Linked DNA regions of Rattus norvegicus. The protein of the gene in region 1 binds, or shares a complex with, the protein of each later gene. Links are inferred from orthologs where the notes say so. Each region holds a gene or a part of one and is shown in the gene's direction. Other genes may lie near its edges. The genes, in order: Map2k1, Ksr2 and Ksr1.

What was found.
Region 2: the proteins of Map2k1 (region 1) and Ksr2 are in contact, whole or in part, in a crystal structure (PDB 7UMB), measured with the Homo sapiens proteins. The link is inferred for Rattus norvegicus from reciprocal best matches to the Homo sapiens genes MAP2K1 and KSR2. Residues at the interface, in NP_002746.1 of Homo sapiens: Val81, Glu102, Met219, Ala220, Asn221, Ser222, Phe223, Val224, Gly225, Thr226, Arg227, Ser228, Met230, Arg234, Leu235, Gln236, Gly237, Met308, Ala309, Ile310, Phe311, Glu312, Leu314, Asp315, Val318, Asn319; in NP_775869.4 of Homo sapiens: Lys674, Arg818, Asp820, Lys821, Leu822, Arg823, Ile824, Gln825, Asn826, Ile837, Arg838, Gln839, Leu840, Ser841, Pro842, Gln877, Pro878, Ala879, Glu880, Ala881, Ile883, Trp884, Gln885, Gly887, Thr888, Met890.
Region 3: the proteins of Map2k1 (region 1) and Ksr1 are in contact, whole or in part, in a crystal structure (PDB 9AXH), measured with the Homo sapiens proteins. The link is inferred for Rattus norvegicus from reciprocal best matches to the Homo sapiens genes MAP2K1 and KSR1. Residues at the interface, in NP_002746.1 of Homo sapiens: Asp217, Ala220, Asn221, Ser222, Phe223, Val224, Gly225, Thr226, Arg227, Ser228, Met230, Arg234, Leu235, Gln236, Gly237, Met308, Ala309, Ile310, Phe311, Leu314, Asp315, Val318, Asn319; in XP_011523731.1 of Homo sapiens: Asn767, Gln768, Leu769, Lys770, Leu771, Ser772, His773, Leu776, Val784, Arg785, Met787, Thr788, Pro789, Asn823, Gln824, Ala825, Ala826, Glu827, Ala828, Ser829, Ile830, Trp831, Gln832, Gly834, Ser835.

Annotation. Positions count from the first base shown.
Region 1 is NC_086026.1:73,587,655-73,591,274, reverse strand, and holds part of Map2k1 (dual specificity mitogen-activated protein kinase kinase 1), read left to right. Parts: intron 1-3,013; coding exon 3,014-3,138; intron 3,139-3,620. UniProt on the Homo sapiens protein: Dual specificity protein kinase which acts as an essential component of the MAP kinase signal transduction pathway.
Region 2 is NC_086030.1:44,845,673-44,849,921, reverse strand, and holds the start of Ksr2 (kinase suppressor of Ras 2), read left to right. Parts: upstream 1-1,366; 5' UTR 1,367-1,812; coding exon 1,813-1,992; intron 1,993-4,249. UniProt on the Homo sapiens protein: Location-regulated scaffold connecting MEK to RAF. Has very low protein kinase activity and can phosphorylate MAP2K1 at several Ser and Thr residues with very low efficiency (in vitro).
Region 3 is NC_086028.1:64,491,511-64,495,130, reverse strand, and holds part of Ksr1 (kinase suppressor of Ras 1), read left to right. Parts: intron 1-1,858; coding exon 1,859-2,006; intron 2,007-3,368; coding exon 3,369-3,620.

The DNA of each region.
Region 1 (3,620 bases):
ATTCTGGCTGGTACTCTGGCAGCATACTGAACTGTGCTAGGTCTTCTGGTCACTAGGAGGGGCTTCATGCAGAGTGTCTGGCTCTCAAGCCCTGAAGGGTAACGCTTCTCCTCTGCAGCCCCAGGAATCTCTGCAAATGGGTGGGTCTAGGAGGCTGAAGCTAGAGTTCAGATCCATATAAGAGAGAGCAGGGTTATGTAAGCTTGAGTGCAGATGCCTGCTTGCCATGTGAATAGAAATCAGATGCAAAGCAGCTAGAGGCAGCTCAGCCTCAGAGAGCAGCAGCTGCAGCCTGGAGGGAGAGAAGCAGCCGTGCCAGAGAATGCAGCCATCATGGAGGGGATGCTCTGGGCTGAGGTCACAGCAACTACCTCTGGGGATGGTGTGTGTGTGTGTGTGTGTGTGTGTGTGTGTGTGTAGTATATATGTAGGTGAGGGCTACACTCTGATGTGAGCTGCCCTGGTCAGAGAAGCCAGGACTTGCTAAAAAGTACATAGAGCATAGGTGGTAGGGTTCCAGCTAGTGCTCCTCTCTTGCTTCAGGTCATACCTGAAAGGCCATGGGAAACATTTGGGATGGGTGAGGGGCAATGGGGAGAAGGCTCATGTTAGGGAGCCTGTACCAGCCCTACAGGCACATCACACCCTTGGCTCTTCCTAAGTTGCTCCCATATCCTGAACATGTGACCTCCAAGGTCTGTTCTGCACACTGTAGGGCAAGGACAAGGGCCTCTTTCTTGTAAGCTGCTGTTAGAGAAAGAGTAGCTGGCCCCTCGCCACCTACCTAGTGTTAAAGTCGTTCTCCAATGGAGAACCGTGCAGGTGTGCCCTTACACTTCTGCATAGTGTTTTTTTTTTTACCCTGCTCTTATCTGACTGGGTACCAAAGACTACCTGGTGTTACACACTCACTCATTGGCTGATTTATCTCCTGACACCAGTAGGTGTTAGTATCATGTGCACTGGATGTTACGGGAACTTGGCAGAATGCCGGTGCCCTTTCCATGGTATTGCAGGGTACCTGTGTGAGGCAGGTGCTCAGTAACCAGTAGGCTTAGACTGCTGAGGAGTGTGGTTGTAGGATGCTAGATAGAGGGCAGTTTTTGCCCTGTGGCCTTGAATAAGCCCTGGACCCTTACTTAGCTCTGTTTTGGAAGTGAATTTGAATCTTACTCATTTAAGATTTCTCCCAGTGCCTGAATGATCTTGGAGGGTCTCTGTGGGAGGTGGAGTTGTAGAGAGGTTTCTAGCTCCATAGAAATGCTAGGCCTGGATCCAACTCCAGTGCTTGGGAGTGATAGTGAGGCTGGGTTTCAGAATGGTCACACTATGTGCTGAGTGTAGATGTGTTCAATCATCGGGGTTTGTGTTCCTCAGGGTTCACCAAGGTAAGACAGACTCTGAGGGCTCTTCTTGCCTTGCTGGAGCTGGTGTGAAGATAAGGGTAGGGAAGGGATAACTGGAGTATTGTAGGGCTGTCACAGCCCCTCTACCCCCAATTTACCCTTGGGAAGATCTTTAGAATCTGTTTAAGAATAAGCAAGTTAAACCAGGCAGTGCTAATGCATGCCCTTAATCCCAGCACTTGGTAGGTAGAATCAGGTGGATCTCTGAGTTTGAGGCCAGCCTGGTCTACAGAGTGAGTTCCGGACAGAACTATAAAGTAATTTTGAAAACTGTCTCAAAAATCTTCTTTTCTTTTCTTTTTTTCGGAGCTGGGGATCGAACCCAGGGCCTTGCCACTGAGCTAAATCCCCAGCCCCAAGTTATTTATTCTTTTTAAAAGTTTTTTGAGGGTTGGGGATTTAGCTTAGTGGTAGAGCGCTTACCTAGGAAGCGCAAGGCCCTGGGTTCGGTCCCCAGCTCCAAAAAAAAAGAACCAAAAAAAAAAAAAAAGAATAAATAACTTTAGCTGGGTTTGGTGACACCTGTGATCTTAGTACTGGAAGCTGAGGAAGTAGGATCTTACAGCCTTCCGTTCCTTTTTAATCCTATCAGAAGTTACCCTGTGTCTTGCTAGTAGGGGTACCTGAAGTAACAGCTTTGAATTCTCCTCCTCCTCCTCCTCCTCCTCCTCCTCCTCCTCCTCCTCCTCCTCCTCCTCCTCCTCCTCCTCTTCCTCCTCCCTCTCATTCCCACTCCTCCTCCTCCCCCTTCCCACTCCCACTCCTCCTCCTCTTCTTCCTCCTCCTTTTCCTCTTCCTCCTCCCCCTTCCCCTCTCACTCCCACTCCTCCTCCTCCTCCTCCTCCCCTTCCCCCTCTCACTCCCACTCCTCCTCCTCCTCCTCTTCTTCCTCCTCCTCCTCCTCCTCCTTCCCCCTCTCACTCCCACTCCTCCTCCTCCCCCTTCCCACTCCCACTCCTCCTCCTCCTCCTCCCCCTTCCCCCTCTCACTCCCACTCCTCCTCCTCCTCTCCCTCCTTCTCCTCCTCCCCTTCCCCCTCTCACTCCCACTCCTCCTCTTCCTCTTCTTCCTCCTCCTCCCCCTTCCCCCTCCCACTCCCACTCCTCCTCCTCCCCTTCCCCCTCCCACTCCCACTCCTCCTCCTCCCCCTTCCCCTTCCCACTCCTCCTCTTCTTCTTCCTCTTCCTCTTCCTCCCCCTTCCCCCTCCCACTCCCACTCCTCTTCCTCCTCTTCCTCCTCTTCCTCCTACTCCTTTTTCTGCTTCTTTTTGTGTGTAGAGACTGGGTTTCTCTGTGTATCCCTGGGAACTAGCTCTGTAGACCAGGCTAGCCTTGAACTCAAAGGTCTACCTGCCTTTGCCTCCCAAGAGCCAATGTGCCCTGCTCCAGACTTTGGCATTTTGACTGGTGATGATAGCTGACTCCTTTTGATGAGTCATATGGCCAGGTCTGAGTCCTAAGAGAGTAGACATCATTATCTACTTCCTTTGGAGTTTACAGGTCACAGATCACCTGTGATGGCGCATGTGGTGTGATCTAGACAGCACTGATCCTTCCCCTCCACAAACCACTCTGTGCTGTCATTTCTTGTTTTTTCTTCTTCACAGATGTCAAGCCTTCCAACATTCTAGTGAACTCACGTGGGGAGATCAAACTCTGCGATTTTGGGGTCAGCGGGCAGCTAATTGACTCCATGGCCAACTCCTTCGTGGGAACAAGGTCCTACATGTCGGTATGAACTGAAGTTCCCTTTCTCCAGTGTTTCTGCAGGCTTCATTATTAGCACCCCCATATTATGAACCTGGAGCCATACATTTTCACTGTGGTGATGGATAAGGATTGAGAAATGAGTCACAGTGGGCCTCTGGGGAAGAGCAAGTGTCTTCCTTTCACAAGTGTTTACATGTAATTGAGGTCTCAGGCACTGCAAGAGATCTAGCTCCAGAGTCTGGCTTCCATTCTAAAGAGACTTGAGAATGCACCTGACATCTTATCTGATTGCCAGACCCTTAAACCCAAGAGACTTGGACATGACCACACCCCACCTGGCTACTGCCAGTTCTTTTATCCTCTAGTGGACCTACTTAGAAAATAGGTTTGAAATCCTTTCCTCCATTCTGCCTCTCTCCACCTTCTTTATGAATGTGTCTGGATCATTTCCCTGCCTGGCATCCAGCTCCTGCTTAGAGTCTACTCTAGCTCAGCCAGCATCCT
Region 2 (4,249 bases), on another chromosome or scaffold:
CTCTGCCTCCCTAGTGCTAGGATTAAAGGCGTGAGCCATCCCATTCGGCTAAGAAGAAAGCCTGTGTCTTTTATTAATTTATAGAAATGGCTCAGTGAGTACGGACAGCTCAGTTCAATTCCTGGAGCCCAGGGTGGAAGGAGAGAATTGTCTTCACTAACTGGGCGCTAACTTCGCCCACACGCTGTGCTGCACGTGAATCCCCCACCCCATTAATTAATAAAAAGCGTATCTATATCAGAGGCACTCGGTACAACTTTATTAACTACATAGTGAAATTTTAAAATTTCATATATGATTCCCCTTTCTTGTCACAAAGTATCCTCCCCAATCCTCAACTTCTTTAAAATGTACTGGCCGTTCTTTACTCTGGTACCGTAGGTGACTGACAAAGGTCAGGGTCGGTAGTTGAAGTTAGATTCCACAAGCCCTTGTGGGAGCAAGGCAAAGCCTCTGTCATCCTGCGAATGGACCTCAGCTAGATCAGGCCCAAGTAGTTGTCGTCCCCACCCGTCCCAATTCTGGGAAAGCCATCAAGGTTGGTTTCCCGCACCCTCCAGCCCACCAAAGCCACAAGAAGCCACCCGCAAAGCCAGGAACGGTGCACAGAGTACAGCGAGGCGAGCGCGCACCTGCTCCCGGGTCCCCGCGCACCTGCTGAGTCGCGCTCGGGCCTCGTCTCGCGAGATCCGGGCTGGCGTAGTGGCCCCCACCCCCACCCAGGCCACCGAGTACCTCTCCCCGCCCCCGGGCCGGGCCTCCCCGCTACCTCCGGGACCAGACCGGCCCCCCTCCCAGCCCCCACAGCATCGTAGCGGCTGCGCTCCGCACGCAAGCCCCTCAGCCCCAAGGGACCCCCGCCTCCCCGGCTGGAGGGTGGCCCGGCGGGCAGGTGCACGAGCCGCCTGCCGCCAGCGGGTCCCAGGCGCGCCCAGGGTGGGGGAGACCCGGGCACCGGCTGCGCGCACGGCGCCTCTCCGCGCTGCATCCCTCGCTCCGCTTCCCACCCCGCCCTGTGATTGACAGGCAAGATGTCGGTGTGGAGCGAGGCAGGAGCAATTGCAGCAGCCGTCCCCCCTGGAGCCCGGTGGCGGCAACAGCAGCAGCAGCAGCAGCAGCAGCAGCAGCAGCATTGTCGCGGGGAGCAGACCGCAGCCAGCCGCAGTGGGCACCGCAGCCGCGCCAGCCTTGCGCACAGCATCCCGAGAGCGCGCTGAGCGCGGGGACCCGCGGACCATGCCGTGTCACCGCGACCGGGAGGGGGGCAGGCGCGCTCCTTTTTGACATAAAAGCCAGCCGACCAAATAGATTTATATACATATAATTCCGCCCTTCACGGAGCCGGTGTGCGAAGCGTGAGCTCTATTTCCCTCTTCCTCCTCCTTCCACTTCTCCTCCTCCCCTTCCTCCTCCTCGCCCTCCTCCTCTTTCTCCTCCCCCTCTCTAAGTGTACAGACTGCACCCTACCACCTGGTTGGCTTCTGACAAACGGGCATCTCTCCCTTTTTAGGGACCAGGGACACAGAGAAAGAGAGAGGAGAGAGACAAGGGACATTCTAATGCAGACTGCCTGATACTCTACCCCCGCCCCAAATAATAATAAATTTTGGCTCTTGTCCCCTCCTCCAACCCCCACCCCCTCAAGCTTGTGTGAGATGTTGGGTTTCTTCAGGAGACACTGCTGAGAAGTCGCAGAGGTTGGGGAGGCGTAGGGGGGGTGGACTCCCTCTACCTCCACTCCTTCCCTCCCCCTTTTTTCTTTCTGGGAGGAGGTGGAGGAGGAGGAGGGGAAGGGGGGTTGCAGAGCAAGCTATGGATGAGGAGAACATGACGAAAAGCGAAGACCAGCAACCTCTGAGTTTGCAAAAAGCCTTGCAGCAGTGCGAGCTGGTTCAAAACATGATCGACCTGAGCATCTCCAATCTAGAAGGGCTTAGGACGAAGTGTGCAGCTTCCAACGACCTCACGCAGAAGGAGATCAGGACCCTGGAGGTAGGTGTTGCCTGCGGTGGGGGGTGGGGGCAAGCCTTCCATCCCTTCCCCTTTTCCAGTCTGTCCCCTTCCCTTTGGGGTTCTGTGTGCTGACGGAGGGCCCGGGGAGGGGAGAGGGTAACGCAGGTGGGCACGAATGATGCGCTATGATTTATCACCTGGCAAAGCCAGCGCCGATGTCTCTTCGCTTCCCAGTGTGGCTGCTGTCTGTGCTCGGCCGGGTGGTGGTGGGTAGCAGTAATAATTGGTGTGCCGTATTGTTGCCATGATTATTCTTTTCTTGTGGGAGGAGGGAGTTATTGTTATTGTTGTTATTATATATTCTCTCTCTCTCTCTCCTCTCTCTCTCTCTCTCTCTCTCTCTCTCTCTCTCTCTCTCTCTCTCTCTCTCTCTCTCTCTGGGATTTGTTTATATGCCACGGGGGCTTGAGCGCTGGGTGCTATGTTAAGGAGCTGCAGGAAACCCACGTGACCTTGTGTGTTCTGCAGGTGGTCAAAGGTGGTTTTGACTGGTTAGATGGGGCTGCCAGAATGGATTCAACCTTTTGCTCTGTGTCTCATCCCCCACCTCACCTCCCCCAACCTACGCTTAGAAAAAATCCCCAAGGAAGTACCTATTTCTAAAACAATCATTTGATGTAAAGGGGGGGGGTTCTCTTTGCAGGCCCAAAATGTGTAAAAAGAAACAATGTTACAGTTGCCTGGAGTGGTTCTTGCACTAGGTGGCGTGGGGAAAATGCTCTTGGGCTGTCTTGGTGAGACTTGGCGGATAGGGGTCCAGGAGAAGGAGTTACATTTGGCTCCTTGTAGCATCCTCTCTCTCTCTCAGACAGAACTTGAGGGGAGTCGGGAGCAGTTCACTGAGAGACTGTGATAGGGATGCTACAAAGTTACCACAAAGAAATGGAAGGAGCTATTTTCCTTCAAAGGCCATCTTTTTTGCCCCCAGAGGATGCTTTCAGGGTTTTGTGAACGGCCTGATGTACTGAAATCCTCCCGCACCTACCTCGTTCAAAATGTCAGACCGATTCAGCCCCTTCACCTTCCTTCCCTCGAAGGTCCAGCTGTCCACATTGCTTGATTTAATTTGGGAATTCCCACTAGCTGGCCTTTGCCAGAAAGTGGTGACTGTGGAGCTCAGAGCAAAGGAGGGTTCCCATTGGCATGGCCGTGCATCATGGAGCTGGATGGTTCAGTTGGCCTCTGGCTTGACTTGTGAGTTCCTGAGCCTGAAGTCTTTCTTCAGTCTTGGCTGACCAGGTCATCTGCATGAACACACCTCTTGGATGTATTCATTTGTCAGGCCTTTTTTTTCTCCTCGATGATTTTAAGTTTGGCCCTCCTGGTGTCTGTATGCAGGAGACTATGGTTTGGAAAGAGGAGTTTGTGTGCGTGGATATTTAAATACGGTGCTTACTGCCCTTGGATATATGTCTGTGCTCACCTGTCAAGTGGGAACATGAACCCCAGGGATGAAATAAGATAAATGTTAAAGTGGGATGTGCGTTGGGAGGCCTAGGCATTGCCTTTCTTAGGGGGTGGGGGAGAGAGAGAGAGAGAGAGAGAGAGAGAGAGAGAGAGAGAGAGGAGTAGGAGTGTTTGACTAGCGGTTGCTGCTGGAAGAAAAGGGTTGGCTAAGGTTTGCTGCTGGAAGTTTCGGGCTGTGGTTAGCCCAGCCCCTATCTCTGCTGCACAGGACCCAGAACAGACTCGGTTCAGAACTATACTTGGGAAAGTTTACACAGATAACCCCTGAGAGCCACCACTCCCACCATGTCTCTTCTACACCCTGTCACCAAAAACTAGGCTGACTTTTACAGACTAAGTTGCCCAGAGTTTCCTTCTGTTTCTTTCTGTGGTGTCCCATCCTCTGTTCACTGACTCCCTGGAGAGCAGTGATTGACACAGCCCGGGGCACTCTGTGGCTGGGGATGGAGCTCAGTGGTAGAGCACATTTGAAATGTGCACGAGGACCTGGGTTCAATTCCAGCACTGTGCAAATACACAAACAAGCAATGGGCAGCTGGTTCTAATTTATCTATGCAAGGTGTCTTTTTTTTTTAAAGATTTATTTATTTCATGTATGTGAGTACACTGTCGTTGTCCTCAGACACACCAGAAGAGGGCATCAAATCCCATCACAGATGGTTGTGAGCCACCATGTGGTTGCTGGGAGTTGAACTCACAACCTCTGGAAGAGCAGTCAGTGCTCTTAACCACTGAGCCATCTCTCCAGCCCATGCAAGGTGTCTTATAT
Region 3 (3,620 bases), on another chromosome or scaffold:
AGCTCAGTGTTCTAGAACTCTGGTTCCAGGAGATCCAGCGCCCTCTTCTGGCTCCTGCAGGCACTGCTCATACATAGTAAACAGACACAAAAGGCAGAATACCATACACATAAAACAAAAATTAGGATTAAAAAGAAATCTCTTCTAAGGTCAGGCATGGTGGCTCATGCCTTTAATCTCAGCACTTGAGAGTCAGAGGCAGGTAGATCTTTGTGAGTTCAAGGCCAGCCTGGTCTGCATGGTAAGACCCTATCTCTCCATCCAAACAACACAAAAGTCTTTAAAAAAAAAAAAGATTTATTATGTATACAGCATTCTGCCTGCAGACACCAGAATAAGGCACCAGATCTCATTACGGATGGTTGTGACCCACCATGTGGTTGCTGGGAATTGAACTCAAGACCTTTAGAAGAGTAGACAGTGTCCTTAACCTCTGAGCCATCTCTCCAGCCCCTAACACAAAAGTCTTAAAAGTCTTCCCTAGCTACTTTCCCCTTTACCCCCTGAGGAGATCACATGTGTACGTGTATCTCTGTGTGCACGTAGAAATTAAAGGACCATGCTGTCCTGCAATCTTAGGGGATCCAAGAATGAAACTCACGTTGTCATGTTTGTCCTCGAATTACCCTGCCTGCTAAGCCATGCTGCTGACCCAAAGCTACTCCTACCTGCTAAGCCATGTTGCTGGCCCAATCGTAGATTTTTATTATTATTATTGATGTGTGTATGTTTACAGTGCGTGCACATGTGCACACCACAGTGCATATGTACAGGGACAGAGGACATCATTGTGGAATCAAGCTCTCTCCTACCTTTTTCTGGGTTCTGGAGATTGAACTCAGGTCCCCAGGTTTGTTCTGGGTTCTGGGGATTGAACTCAGGTCTTCAGGTTTGCAGGCAAACTCCATCTTAATGCCCACCCCCACCTCCTGCAAAACACTTTGTCCGGCCGTGTAGCCCTTTGAGCTTCATTCTCCAGATGTAATATGATCCCAGTGGCCTGCAAGTTCTCTACCACTGAGCTACACATCCAGCCCTGCTTCCCTAGCTCCCACCCCCTTTTTAGACAGTCTTATGTAACCTAAGCTGGCCCCAGACTTACTGTGTAGGCAAGGATGACCTTGAACTTGCCATCCTCCTGCCTCTACTTCCCAAGAGCCACCGTGCCTGGTTTAGGCAGTGCTAGATCCTAGGGCTTTGTGCATCCTGGGCACACTGTGCCAGCCTGGCCTACAGCCTCAGCCTTCCCTTTTCATTATGGGACAAGGTCTCACTAAGTCACCTTAGCCGGCCTTGACTTCGCTTTCTAACCCAGGCAGGCTTTGAACTTAGGATCCTCCTGCTTCCACCTCCCAAGTAGATGATATAAGCAGGTCAGTCTAGCTGGCCTACATTGACTGGCTTACAAACAAGTCAGTAACTGGTGTTGTTGTTTTTGTTGTTGTTGTTGTTGTCCTTGTTAACAACAATTAAGCTTGAGATGTCTCTTGTGTGGTTCAGATACAGTCATGTCCAGAAGAGCTTCCAAAGGTGTCAAAACTCCTAGCTTTCCTGTACCAAAAAATTTTAAAATATAAATAAATAAACAGACTGTGAGGCCCCATCCAGGCCTTTCTGGACTTTTCTTCTTCCCCTTATCTCTGACCCGAAGGTGGCACTCCACTTCAGCTGCTGTTTCTGCCATACTGACGGTGGGGGTGAGTGCTCTGCCCCTGACAAGTGGTGGCTTCTAGTCAGAGGCTGTCCGAGACAGCAGCTGGCTCCTGCCACTCAGCTGGGAGGCCTGTCCTTCGGAGCGGAGGGCTGAGACTCCCTCACTGCTCCCTCAGCTTTCTTCCTGTCCCTTCTGTACCCCCAGGAGATCCCCCAAGAGCTCACACTGGATGCCCTGCTGGAGATGGACGAGGCCAAAGCCAAGGAGATGCTGCGGCGATGGGGGGCCAGCGCTGAGGAGTGCAGCCGTCTACAGCAAGCCCTCACCTGCCTTCGGAAGGTGACTGGTCTGGGTAAGGAATGCCTGCTCTCCCCCAGGACTCTACTTCTGCCTGTGCTCCCAGGCCTGGCCAGTTCCTTTGGGAGATGGGACTTTGCCAAAGCCGGCCTTGGGATAGCTAGGTTGTGCTTCAGGGTTTGGGGTTAGATTTGGTGCGGCTGTTTGGAAAGTATGCTGGGCCTTGGCTCCTAGGAAGCCTTCTCAGAGTCCCCAGGGCCTTGGAGTCTATTGGTCTAGCTAGTCGGACCTAAAAAGCCTCCGCCATTGTTAGGAATCCCAGTCTGCTTTCAGTTCAGGTCCTGTATGCCACGCCTCCGACACATACTGGAAGGCGTCTGTGTTGCTCCAGCCCCTGCCACCGGCTTCCTGCATTCCATCTCCCGTCCTCATGAGCAGTTTCAGCTCTGCTCACAAAGCCTCTTGGTATCAGTGTGGCCCGAGCCCAGCATAGTTAGAGAAAACGTGCTGCTTCTTATAGGGCTATCCCGGGCTGTGTATAATCCTGCCATTACCGCAGTCTCCCCTGGGATTACTCATAGGCCCTTTATGTCTTCCCTTGGAAACAGTTGGCTTAATGTTCCGACTACCACCCAGAGAGGGCACTGATGTGAGCCTCGCTTAAAAGAGCTGCTGCTTCATCTCCAGCCTCCTGGGGCTGAAAGGGGGGCACCCAGCTTTACACTCGTCTCTTTTATAAGACAGGGTCCCTGTGTCGTGCTGATTGACCTGGAACTCCCTGTCTAGACCTGGCTGGCCTCAAACTCAGAGATCCTCCTGCCTCTGTGTGCTACCATGCCCAGCTAATTAATTTTATCCCCCAAAGGGTAGAGCCTACGTTCTTTATTCATAGCGTCTGAGTATCTGTGGTTCTAGGTGTGTCTGGGGTCCACCGTGCCAAGGCACAGCCCTAGGGAAGAGAATTTCCACAGCTTCCTTTCTCGTCACTCGGCCATGCAGCTCCTGTGTCCCTGTGACAGGTTGTGGGCTTCCTGTCATCCCACATGACTTCTTCACTGGCCACCAGGGTTGAGAGCAGTCAGAGCATCTTGCTTGCACTCCAGCAGGGCCTGGTGAGAGCCAGGATGAGCTGAGGAGTCAGCTTCCCTTGACCTCCCAGTACCTCAGTTCCTCGTCTGTACAATAAGACTGCCCCTCTGACAGGGTTGTTGTAATGGAGAAGTAAACTAGGGGTCACTAAAGGTCAGGTGTGCTTCTCAATATCAGGCCATAGAAGGTGCTGTTGGGGGGAGAAAGTGAATCTGGGAGCAGAGCCTGCTGCTGAGTAATGCTGTTATCTCCATCAAGGTGTCGTGCTTTCCCATAGTAGTGGCACCCCTGAGTCCTTTGTATTTCTGACTGACTACTTGGCCCACAGGAGGGGAGCACAAAGAGGACTCTGGTTGGAGTTCAGCAGAAGCACGAGAAAGTAGCTCTGGGCCTTCAGTGGACATGCTCTCCTCGCTGGGCAGAGCGGGTGCCAGCACTCAGGGACCCCGTTCCATCTCTGTGTCTGCCCTGCCTGCCTCAGACTCTCCAGTCCCCGGCCTCAGCGAGGGCCTCTCGGACACCTGTATCCCCTTGCACACCAGTGGCCGGCTGACCCCCCGGGCCCTGCACAGCTTCATCA